Schizosaccharomyces pombe: one gene and its partner. The protein of the gene in region 1 interacts with the protein of each later gene in a biochemical or structural test. Each region holds a gene or a part of one and is shown on either strand. Other genes may lie near its edges. The genes, in order: rga2 and rho2.

Evidence for each region.
Region 2: of the proteins of rga2 (region 1) and rho2, one has a biochemical effect on the other in vitro, tested with the Schizosaccharomyces pombe proteins (one study listed by BioGRID).

The regions. Positions count from the first base shown.
Region 1 is NC_003424.3:3,347,541-3,354,015, forward strand, and holds rga2 (putative Rho-type GTPase-activating protein Rga2), read right to left. Parts: upstream 4,719-6,475; coding exon 1,029-4,718; 3' UTR 563-1,028; downstream 1-562. Other genes in the region: Sm snRNP core protein Smb1, read left to right, coding at 1-21; cnt6 (centaurin ADOP ribosylation factor GTPase-activating protein), read left to right, coding at 4,975-4,990, 5,029-5,153, 5,445-6,475. UniProt on the Schizosaccharomyces pombe protein: GTPase-activating protein for Rho-type proteins.
Region 2 is NC_003424.3:4,421,075-4,425,408, forward strand, and holds rho2 (Rho family GTPase Rho2), read left to right. Parts: upstream 1-1,616; 5' UTR 1,617-1,927; coding exon 1,928-1,953; intron 1,954-2,037; coding exon 2,038-2,116; intron 2,117-2,232; coding exon 2,233-2,238; intron 2,239-2,291; coding exon 2,292-2,330; intron 2,331-2,442; coding exon 2,443-2,483; intron 2,484-2,551; coding exon 2,552-2,570; exon of another isoform or gene 2,571-2,618; coding exon 2,619-2,711; exon of another isoform or gene 2,712-2,755; coding exon 2,756-2,890; exon of another isoform or gene 2,891-2,937; coding exon 2,938-3,102; 3' UTR 3,103-3,572; downstream 3,573-4,334. Other genes in the region: protein nst1, read right to left, coding at 1-1,137; srp2 (guard protein for 5'-capping of pre-mRNAs Srp2/Npl3), read right to left, coding at 4,176-4,334. UniProt on the Schizosaccharomyces pombe protein: Involved in cell morphogenesis, the maintenance of growth direction, control of polarity and of cell wall integrity. Regulates the synthesis of alpha-D-glucan through activation of pck2.

The DNA of each region.
Region 1 (6,475 bases):
CCGGGTTTTCGTCCTGTTTAGGATGGTTCCGTTTGATTCGTTTTCTTTCACCACAGAGCATCCACTATTCGTTCATTAATAGCACGATCAACATCTGATTTTTGTTTTAGTGCGTTTTTGGTTATTTAAAAAGCTTTATAGTCTGCTTTTACGAATCGGTTGACTTGAACCTCATCGGTACTATTCTCATTCGATAACATCATAGTAGGCGCTTTGCTTTTGTGTATTTGTATAAATTAGTTTTTCCAACTTTCATTTTCTAATCCGAGGTTTTATGAGAGTCTCAGCGAGAATGCTTATGCGACTATCGTGAACTCTGTTTACCAATGCTGTTATGGATTAGGTGATACAGGCATAAATTATCCATAAATGGTCTGCTGTCGTCAGTTTGGTATCATCTACAAAACAGTGTTATCTTTTTTGTTTGGTAGTTCGAATATCAAACAAAACTGTACGAAAGCATTCCTTTAAAAAAATGATATTCAGCTAAGAGTGAATATATACGTTTTACTTAGCTATGTCTATATGACCCTTACTAGATTAGTTTATGATATTTAATGTTAGCAATTTTACTTAAAATAACATATAATATTGCTCATTTATCACCGCTCAATAGCAAGAATAGAACGACAATTCATTATACTAATCAAAGAAGAATAAAAATAAAAGAAGATTATAAAGAAAAAACCCGAGCTTCCAACATAAATTGAATATACAATCATAAAAAACCTGCCCAAAATTAGTTATAAGAAGAACTAGAAAAGAATGAACAAACGAAGGGCTAAAATAGTTATAGAGTATTAAAACTTTTAAAAGAAAGAGTAAATTAACGACATCGTACTAAGACGACTGCCGTACATACGAATATTTGGAGAATCCCTGTGTCTCTAAGCATTAAAACAAGAAATAATTCAATAAAGGAATGAACAGGAAGACGAAAGACAAAGGGATAGTAAAACACGTACAACCATTGAAAGTTTAAGTAAACTAACCGTCTCAAGCGTTGACAATTTGTAGACGTTAAATTCCTAGAAAAATTCGTTATCCTCCCCATTGTCATCACTAACATCAGAGTCGCTTTCGTTTTGTGCTCCGTTCGTTTGTCGTGAAATATCTGTGAAGATATGATCATAGTTAAGGATAAGCATCATAAATATATCCGAAGGGATATTTAAAGTAGGAGAAAACACTATACAAACGTTCCTAATGTTCATTTTGTTAACTTTTTCAAAAGCAATAATCCTACGCAAATGATGTAACAGGGAATCCAAAAGGGCAAAATTTTCAGGAGGGAGTTTGCTAATAACATCGCAAAGTTCTCCAAGGGCCGCAGAATCGTTAGGAACATTAGGTAACAGTTCGAATAATTTATGCATAGAAGTGTCTAAGAGGTTGGTAGGTAAATTTCTCAAATACAACTTTAAAAGTCCAGCAATTACATGCACGTCGAATTCCTCGTCTGACGAAAGCAAGTCGTAATCTACTCCTTCATTAAATTGTTCCTTAAGATGTTTAATTGTCGAGGCAGAACCACTTAACCGATAAATACCTTCCTCTTTCTCGGCTCGGCATGATTCCAAGTATTCAATGCATCTGTAGACAACAATTGGCAAACCGCTGTCATTGAATTGAGTAGAAATATTCACCGCTTCATTAAGAGGAAGACCGAATATTCCAGACTTACGGACAATATGTTTCTGTAATGGCTCAGCACTTGTTGTCGAACTTGGTGAAAGCATTACATTTGTTTCGATCACAGGTATATTCGTATCAGATATTTGTTCGTAATTTTCGGCCTTATGATGCGGAAACGCCCAAAATTTCATTCTCGATCTCTTTTCTTCATTTTGCGAATTCTGAGAATGAGAATCGATCAATAACTCTACAGGAGTAGATTGGTCAGTCTTCTCCAGCGAAGGTCTAGAAGACTGGATTTCTATCACGGGGACGTGCTTTTCAGGAGCATCTTGGTTTCGTCTAGTGTCAGCAATCTCTAAAACACTTCCCGTACTACTGTCGAATGACAACTCAGAAACACGATCACTAATCTCAAACTCTCTATGATTTTCTAAAGGCACCTGCTCCATTGAATCCCTTAATTTAGGACTCATGGTTAAATTTGAAACCAAAGAATCATCGGCATAAGAAGCAACATTTTCTGACGGTGGTAAAACGGGAGATGGAGAGCTGGATATATCCTGACTTAAAATTGCTTCTTGACTTACAGGTCTTGAGTCTGCTTTTCCATAAAAACGGATAGGAGAAGATTGATCACGATAACGAGAAGATCCAGGAAAATCAGAAGATAATACAGAGAAGGGACTAGCATTGAGAGGAGAAGTAGAGCCAGGAACCTGTCGAAGTATGGCTCGCAGCCAACTCTTCTGATCTTCAACATCTCTTGCTAAAAGAACGTGAACAGTTGCAGTTCCCGTTCGCGTTTCCGTTTGTTTTTCCTGAATTACAAAAGCGGATTGATAATTTTCACCAGTTAAAAATTCATGAGGAGGATCAATGATAGAAAATATAGGTAAATTGGCATTATAGCGATTCACCTGCGCATCTTTTAAATGGATTGTACCAAGTACTGGAGAATTTCGATTTTCAGCGAAATATAAAATATTGTCCTTTAAATAAAAATAACGTGAAACTAAACCACTGTTTTCAATGTATTTCAAAAGTACCCCCTCCTTTTGAGCATGCTCAGGAGGAAGAAAGAATACATCATGAAGGTATTCTCGTAAAGTGTCACTTGACAAAAATTCTAGTAACTTGATCCTCTGTTCCAACTTAAGATCAGTTTGAAATATATAACGAAAATAGGTATCGACAGAACGGCGTAACAATTCGTTTTGAATTACTGAAGAGTCATTTGTAAACCAATCAAGAGTAGGGAAAGGAGGTGCGCCGATGTCTAAGACGAAAGAAGTAGCAAAGGAACGACATTCTCCGATGCTCCTTGTGAAACTCCATACTTCATCTTTCCATTGTGAAGCTAAATGTGAACTCGCAGAGACACCGACCACGAATTGCAACCCTATGCAATCAAAATCTGGAGATAAAGAAGCCAAACTGGTTTTCATAAGCTCGAAACGAAGATAACGGACTAATGATTCATCCAACCTAAAGCTCAACTTATTGTTGTACAAAGTATCCAAAGGTAACATAGAACCTTTGGAATTCGACGTGGATTTTTCAACTTGACTTGATGGATGATGGTTATGAGATTTCGACTTGCTAAATGGCGAAATCGGTGAGAAGCTGTTGAGTAACCCTTTAGAAGACAATTTTCCTGGAGATTTTTGGCTAGAATTATCAAGTTTCGATGTTGGTATTTCTGCTAGAATGTCATTATCAAAAGATTGTGAATGATGAGGATCGATGACCGTCCAAGTTCTGTTGGAATCCGACCGGCGACGTGTAAAACATATGTCACTATCAGGTATTTTCAAGGTAGAAAATGAGGACCTTCTTGTATCGGATGAGCCAGTCTTTTGAAGAGACAAAGAATCGTTATCTTCTGAAAGTCCACGAGGAGGTAGGCTAGGTTTGTCATCAGGCCTAGGTGTGGTAGAAGACGAAGAAATTGGCGGAGGTGGAGGACTCTCAGTAGGACGCGCAGGGGTTGAATATGCTGGAACATTTGAGGTTGGAGCCAAGAAATTATTTGCTTCCTTATTTTCAATAATGGGAGAATTCGTTTCACTTCGAGCTTGTAAAAGAACATTTTCGGAAACAACTCGAAAATCAGAATGGAATTTACCTGACTTCGAGCTTAAATTATTAGTAGAATGCTTTGGGGAAGATATACCATGCGGTTTTACAATAGATATACTTTTTCTCCTAGGCGATGATGCATTAGCTCTTCCAACTTTTATGTCCAAGAATTGTTGACGAAGTTCGTCCTCAATTTCAGCAAAATGGTCTTGTTTGTTTGAATTGTTATCTTTAGGATCAATAGAAATATTACTGTCCGAGTTAAATGGAGTTGGCTTTGTAATTGGCCTACGAAAAGAAGATGTATTTAATGACAAAGGTGATAAATTGTCAGAACGGATAGAATCAATTCGTTCAGCTGACTCAGTTGATACCGAATAAGTCTTGATTGCTTTATTTCGGAGGGCCTGTATCCGTTCCTTTTGGCTGTCTTTTAATATTGGAGATGTCACTGGTGAAGATGCACCTGGTTCTTCAGATGAACGGTGCGAGCGTTTCGTATTCAATAAAAGTTTTGGTCTGGTCATATCCGACAATCTGTCTAACGACCTGGCCTTGATATCGGTAGTTTTATTATAATTATTTAAAGCAGATAACGAAACAGAACTAGATTTTTCATGGTCTGAAGAGCTAATGTGAGCAGAAGCAGTAGGTACGTCTTTGGAACTTTTCAAAGAAATCTTGGGAAATAATTTCCCCTTCTCATATGGAGAGCTATAAGAGTCCGATTGAGGAGAATTAGCTCTGGACGGTTGACTAGAAGGAAATGAGTCTGTAGACTCATATTTACTCAGTCGCATGCGTAATGAAGTATTATCCTTTTTTACTTTTTCCAAGTCCTTATGCAGCTCGTATATAATTTCTCTTTGCTTATTCACTAGCTTCATTAATCTCTCATTTTGAGATACAATCCCAGAATTATCCTCTTCTTCTTCATCTTCCCAAATCTCTGAATTCAGCTCAATTTTTGAATACTTCTCCAATTCATTTCCTTCTTTCATTATTTTTTCAAATAGAAACGTAGTTTCTGCATGAAAATAAATGATTTCGGCAGAATATGCGAAAGTGGTGATACGGCAAGTTGTGGGCTCTGACCGCAAGAAAAAACCTGTCGTCCGCACAACATCCATCTTTACCATTTGACGAAGAGAACAAGCAGCTTCGTATTGAGAACCCTCAAATTTTTGATTGAGACTCCTTCAAGCTTTGCTGCCGGTTCTCATACCGAATTTATACTAATAGCCCTTTGACCCGGCAATGGACGGAAGTGACTGTATGTTTAATATTTTTACTTTCGTTACTAACGTTTAGCTTTATTGAAATCTGTTGATGTTTCCAAATTAGACAATGGCTCTACCATTTCATTCCGCGCCCGAGAAGATGGGTTTCTAGAGTCAATATCTAGCTCATCAGGAAAATTGGTGGACATGGTTTTGGTATGATATAAAAGCTAAGAGTATCTGAACATTGAGTAAAATATTAAAATAGACACATTTAATAGTGTCGATTCTTTTGTCAAAAAATAGTTATCACTCTTACATCTATTTATAAGTCCATTCTTTTGAACTGGATAACACAGACTAATGAATGACAATAACTACAAGACAAACAGATATAGTCTATGATTTTATCCAAAAGGAGCAACTGGAGCAAGCCCATTGTGCATTCGTGTTGCTCGAAGATGTTCTTATTTCCATATACGATTTTACTAACTTTGTAAAAATTAGGATTCTACATCAAAAGAGTGCCTCCCTAAGTTTAGTTTTCAAAACAAGCTAGACTTCTACTTTTTATTCAGTGATCGTGTTCTCCAGTTGCAGAAGGAGAGGAAAGTACTTGTACTCATCCATTGCGAATCGCTTCAATCGTTTGATTCTTTTTTTGCTCAGAAGTTGAAATATGCAGACTTAATTTCTTCGGATAATGTACATGAAATTTTTTTACCAGATTCAAATGCGGCCAATATCAGATATCATTGGGAGTGGTCACCTCCTTCGGGTAAACTTCTGGAGTATGAATGCAAAAACTATTCTTGCATAGCCGTTTACTCTACTGAAGACTGTACTCTTGAACGTATCTCAAAATTTAGCTACTACACCGTATCTCGTTGCGGTGATTCTATGGATGATACATTTTTTTCGGAAAGCCAGCGTGTCACGTCGCCGCTAACTACTAGCCAGACGGTACAAACCCAACCTCCTCAATCTCCGGAAGCGAAGACGGAGCTTTCATTGATTAATACCAAGACCGTTATATTCCCAGAGAATTATGAGGATGGACCGTCATTCCGATCTATGTTGCATGAGCTTGAGCAAAAATCATCTCTTATGAAGTATTATTGCAAAAAAATAATGAAACGTATTGTCCAATTAAGTGATGCATACGATGCATCGCAAGTTGCTGTTATGAAATTGTCAGAGACACTTTCGGAAGCTTCTAATAGCACCAGTATGAATATGGACATACTTCTGGACAGTTATTTAACCAAGGCTATGGACATTCATGCCACCTTTATACAAAAACTTAATTATGATTTAATTAATCTTTTATATGAGCCATTTCATAACATTTACTCAAGCTTCATTAAGCCAATTGATGATAGACGACTTGAATTTGATGAACAAAGCAAAAGCTTTTATGGATCTTTGTCGCGTTATCTATCAGCTAAAAAGGACAAAAAGGGAGGAGACTCTAAATTTTTTCAAAAAGAGAAAACGTTTGCCTTACAACGATATGATTACTATTGTTTTATGCAAGA
Region 2 (4,334 bases), 1.1 Mb from region 1:
GGTTATATCATCATTGAGAGATTTTGATGGTACGTTGTTCAGAGGAATCGATAAAAGCTTAGGTGAATCGGAGATGATTCCTTTCTGGGACTTGTCTGAACCTTCGTCTGAAGCGTTTACAGACTCGGTATTTGCAAGGTTACGTTGAATATTAGCATATTGTTCTAATTCTTCATAGTAAGCATCATACAGTACTTCCAACTCTTCCTCAATTGCTAAACGTTTCCTTCCACACACCGAACAAGAGCATGAGTATTTTTGTTGCTCTTTCATTTTTTGCAAAACAGCTTCTTTTTCGACTTTAACTAACGACCTGCGTTCACTTTCACTTAAGGAAAGCCAAAATTCCCGAATTTGCTCCCGCTCCTCAGTATTCGAACTGCTCCAAATATCTTTGGATTTATTATTGTTAACGTTATTATTCATACTGGCTTGACGCACAGAACCGTTGTAATAAGAAAGCGCTTGCCCATTCCTATAAGTAATAGCAACGTCCGTAGAATAAACTTGTTCAAAATCTCTTTGATCATCCACATTCAACGATGCACTATTTGCTTTTGACTTCTTCTTCTTTTTCTTTTTCCGTTTAGATGAAGTTGACGAACCTAACGCTACTGTATTCAAATTCATATTATTTTGAACGGAGTTCGGTGACATATTGGACGACGTCGCGTCTTCCAAACCAGGTATATGAACTGGAAACTCGGCTTCATCCACGAAACTGGAGGTAGAAAGAATACATTGGGGAGAATGTTCTATGGTATCGTCAGATTCAAGAGTGAATTGCCAATCCGTCGAAGATATTCCTTCGACGTTAATCAACGATGAATCATCACCATTTGCCGAGACCAGCTGCGGATGAGAAATACGAGAATTCAAATTTGAAAGTTCCAAAGACGCTTGATGATCTATGACACCATTATTCGCGCCAACGTCTGTAACTGCAGAATCGGTCCCTGCCGACCCAAGCAAATCCACGTTTGCTTGAGTCTCGACATTTTTCTTGGCTTTCGGTTTTTTCTTCTTTTTATTCTTTTTCTTTGTACCAGAGTTGGGAATAGGTATAAGAAGATCCTTGAAACTTGGAGGTTCTAACCCTACACTGAGTGCTTCGGTGCGAAGAGCTTTATCATTCATGTTTTCTTTTTAAAAATCGCCTACCAACAACGCCTCTTTTTTTATGAGCTTAAAATATGAAACTAACGATTTAAAAAAAAAATAATTTAAATTATTTTTTTTATTCAAATTGTAGCTCACGGGTCTGCGTTGGCAATGTTTTAAGGGTAATCCCTAAAATTCTTAAATGCCGAACTGCCCACCTTTTCTTAGTTCAATATTCAAAAACAGTATACCCCAAAGTACTTGAAATAGTATATCTTCTTAGGGATTTCAACCCAGATGATCCAAATCACAAAGATTTTTGGATTTAACTAGTTCAATTGCTGCTTTGCAGAATGTGGTGAATAAAGCCAAACGGCAAATGGCGTTTTATCATATTTAATGCATCTTAACGTGCAAAATTAGTTCTTTAAGGCATGTTAAGGTGCAATAAGGAAGCGTACGATTCCAATAAATTGAATTTACGATACTTAACACCAAAAGTGTCTATAATCCGCATGGGATAAATGTCACCAAAACCACATTTCTTGAACAAATACTCTTTGAGAAGCTAATTTTTGTGCATATACTACTTTTCGTTGCTCTAATTGAAAGGCTTGGACGTTTGGCTAATCGCTTCATTTGACTATTTCGACAATCGCTTACTCATTTCTTATATTTCAAAAATTCACACCTATTTGGTTTAATTTTTACAGCTTTTCGAACCGGGAAATTTTGGTTGTCTGATCTGCAGTGAATCATTCTTTAAGAAAAATTTGCATAGAAAAAACCTCATACAGTGTTTAATCCGCTCCCTATTAAAAAGTACATGTTGCAATCTCAACCGATTAGAAGGTACGATTCTATGGCCTAATATCTTTTTGCTTCTTTTATTTCTTCTACTCAAATTCATTTTCTTTAAATATTAATATTTTTAAGGAAACTAGTAGTTGTAGGCGATGGTGCCTGCGGGAAGACGTCTTTGTTATCCGTTTTCACTTTGGGATATTTTCCTACTGTAAGTACAGATGTCATAAAAGTGAGCTTTGGCTTATCGCATATTGCACGATACGCAAATACTTATTGTCTTTTCTACCTTATTTATTTATTTATTTACTAACTTACTGGCGATAGGAATATGTAATGCTTTTTTCTCTTTATTTCGTAGAGTTTTTTAATAACAGTTACTATAGGTTCCGACTGTGTTTGAAAACTATGTTTCAGATTGTCGAGTATGTGTGATTAACAAGTTATTGAGCTTTTTCAGTTGGTTACAGAAAGTTACTTTCCCACTGGTCCCTTTTCTTTGGGTTTTGCTAATACATTTGATACTAACTAAAATAGGTTGATGGAAAATCAGTTCAACTGGCATTGTGGGATACCGCGTAAGTACTTTTTTTTCTGATGTTAAAACTATATGTTATGTATTCCTGCATACTAATTCTTGTTTTAGAGGTCAAGAGGAATATGAGGTTTGTTTCGTTATTAATAGTGAGAAATACGTCGTTAACCCAATGCAGAGATTAAGACCAATGTCTTACGCTAAAGCACACATTATTTTGGTTGGGTTTGCGATAGACTCTCCTGATTCACTTGAAAATGTTTCTACGAAGGTTCGTTTCATTAATTGTTTTTTCCAGTCATTAACATTATATAGTGGATTGAGGAAATTAATACACTTTGCCCAAATGTTCCGTTTATTTTAGTGGGCATGAAAGCCGACTTAAGGTCAGATCCCGTTGCTATTGAAGAAATGCGACGTCGAAATCAAAATTTTGTAAAATCACAACAGGTATATATTAATAATTCAAACACGTGAATACTAATTCTTGATATCAGGCTGAATTAGTAGCTCAGCGGATTGGTGCGAGAAAGTATATGGAATGTTCTTCATTGACTGGTGACGGCGTGGACGATGTATTTGAAGCTGCTACTAGGGCAGCACTAACAGTTCGGGATTCGGAAAATGACAAGAGTTCTACAAAATGCTGCATCATTTCATAATTACTAATATCCTAACGATTGCAAACATTCATGTTTCAGTTTATAGGAAAGCCTATCAGTTTATGCGACCTACATTTACAAAAAGCTGATAGACTTTTTTGCTTTTCTTCGCATTTGTTCTTTGCCGTTGTTTCATTTCGTTTTCACTTTCACTTCTGTCGTTTACTTTTTTCTTTTTCTCCCCTATACCTCAAATTTAGTTCCTATTTTATTTTGAGACTCAGGAGTATTATTATTATTTTCATCATTATAATCTTCACGCATCGGTCGAACGACACTAGCCTCCTTTTTCATTTCATTAAGCAAACCGCATTCAGTTATTATTACCTTTTTTTTTTACTCTTAAACATCTTTCATTCTTTTTCAGCATCTATTGTCCTCATGAAAACTACTTTTTGTTTAAAAGATCATAGGACTTTATTTTTAGAACTGCCGCTTGCGCTCATTATGAAGTACAAAATTCATATATGTACATATGCTTTTGTTCTCTTAGGCTAATAGAAAATGTCAGTTTTCCTTATTGATACATTTAATACGTAGGCTCACTTCGCTAAGTAATTTTATGGGGCGGTCAAATTCAAAATTCTGGCTCATTTAAGCTAAATATTAAGACACCGCCAAAGGTATACAACCATATCAAAATTTATCACCTACTAAAGTTTCGAGCCTATTTTTTTCTGGGCATTAATGGGTTGGAAATCAAGACTGGCAAGAGTTAAAGTGGTCACTCTCATCAAACAACTATGTGAAATTATATACCCTTTAAACACCCATACTCCAACAACTAACTTTTCTTCGGGCGTTCACTTCATTAAGAACAACAACCAAAAAAAAACAACCAAAATCCATCCAAATGATAAAGAATGACAAATACGCGGCAAAAATCCGGAACTACACTAAAAATTACACATTCCTTTCATTCTTGATCGTAAGAAAGGAAATCGCCAATAAAGAGAGATAAATTCATACTCAAATACATCACAGACAAAGGATATTAAGACCACAGACATATGACAGGAAAATCTAGTAAGCAGACACTAAAAAATAGTTTACCAAAGGAAAAATTTCTATGTTTACCATTCAGCAGCGACCTGTCCTTCAGCGCTACCGTTACCTACATCAGAATGGTTTTGCAAAGGCTGTTGTTCTTCCGAAGCAGCAGGTTTGTCATATGATTCAGTGGGAGCAGATGACTCCATTGATGCTTCAGGAGCAGCTGAATAGGATTTGGA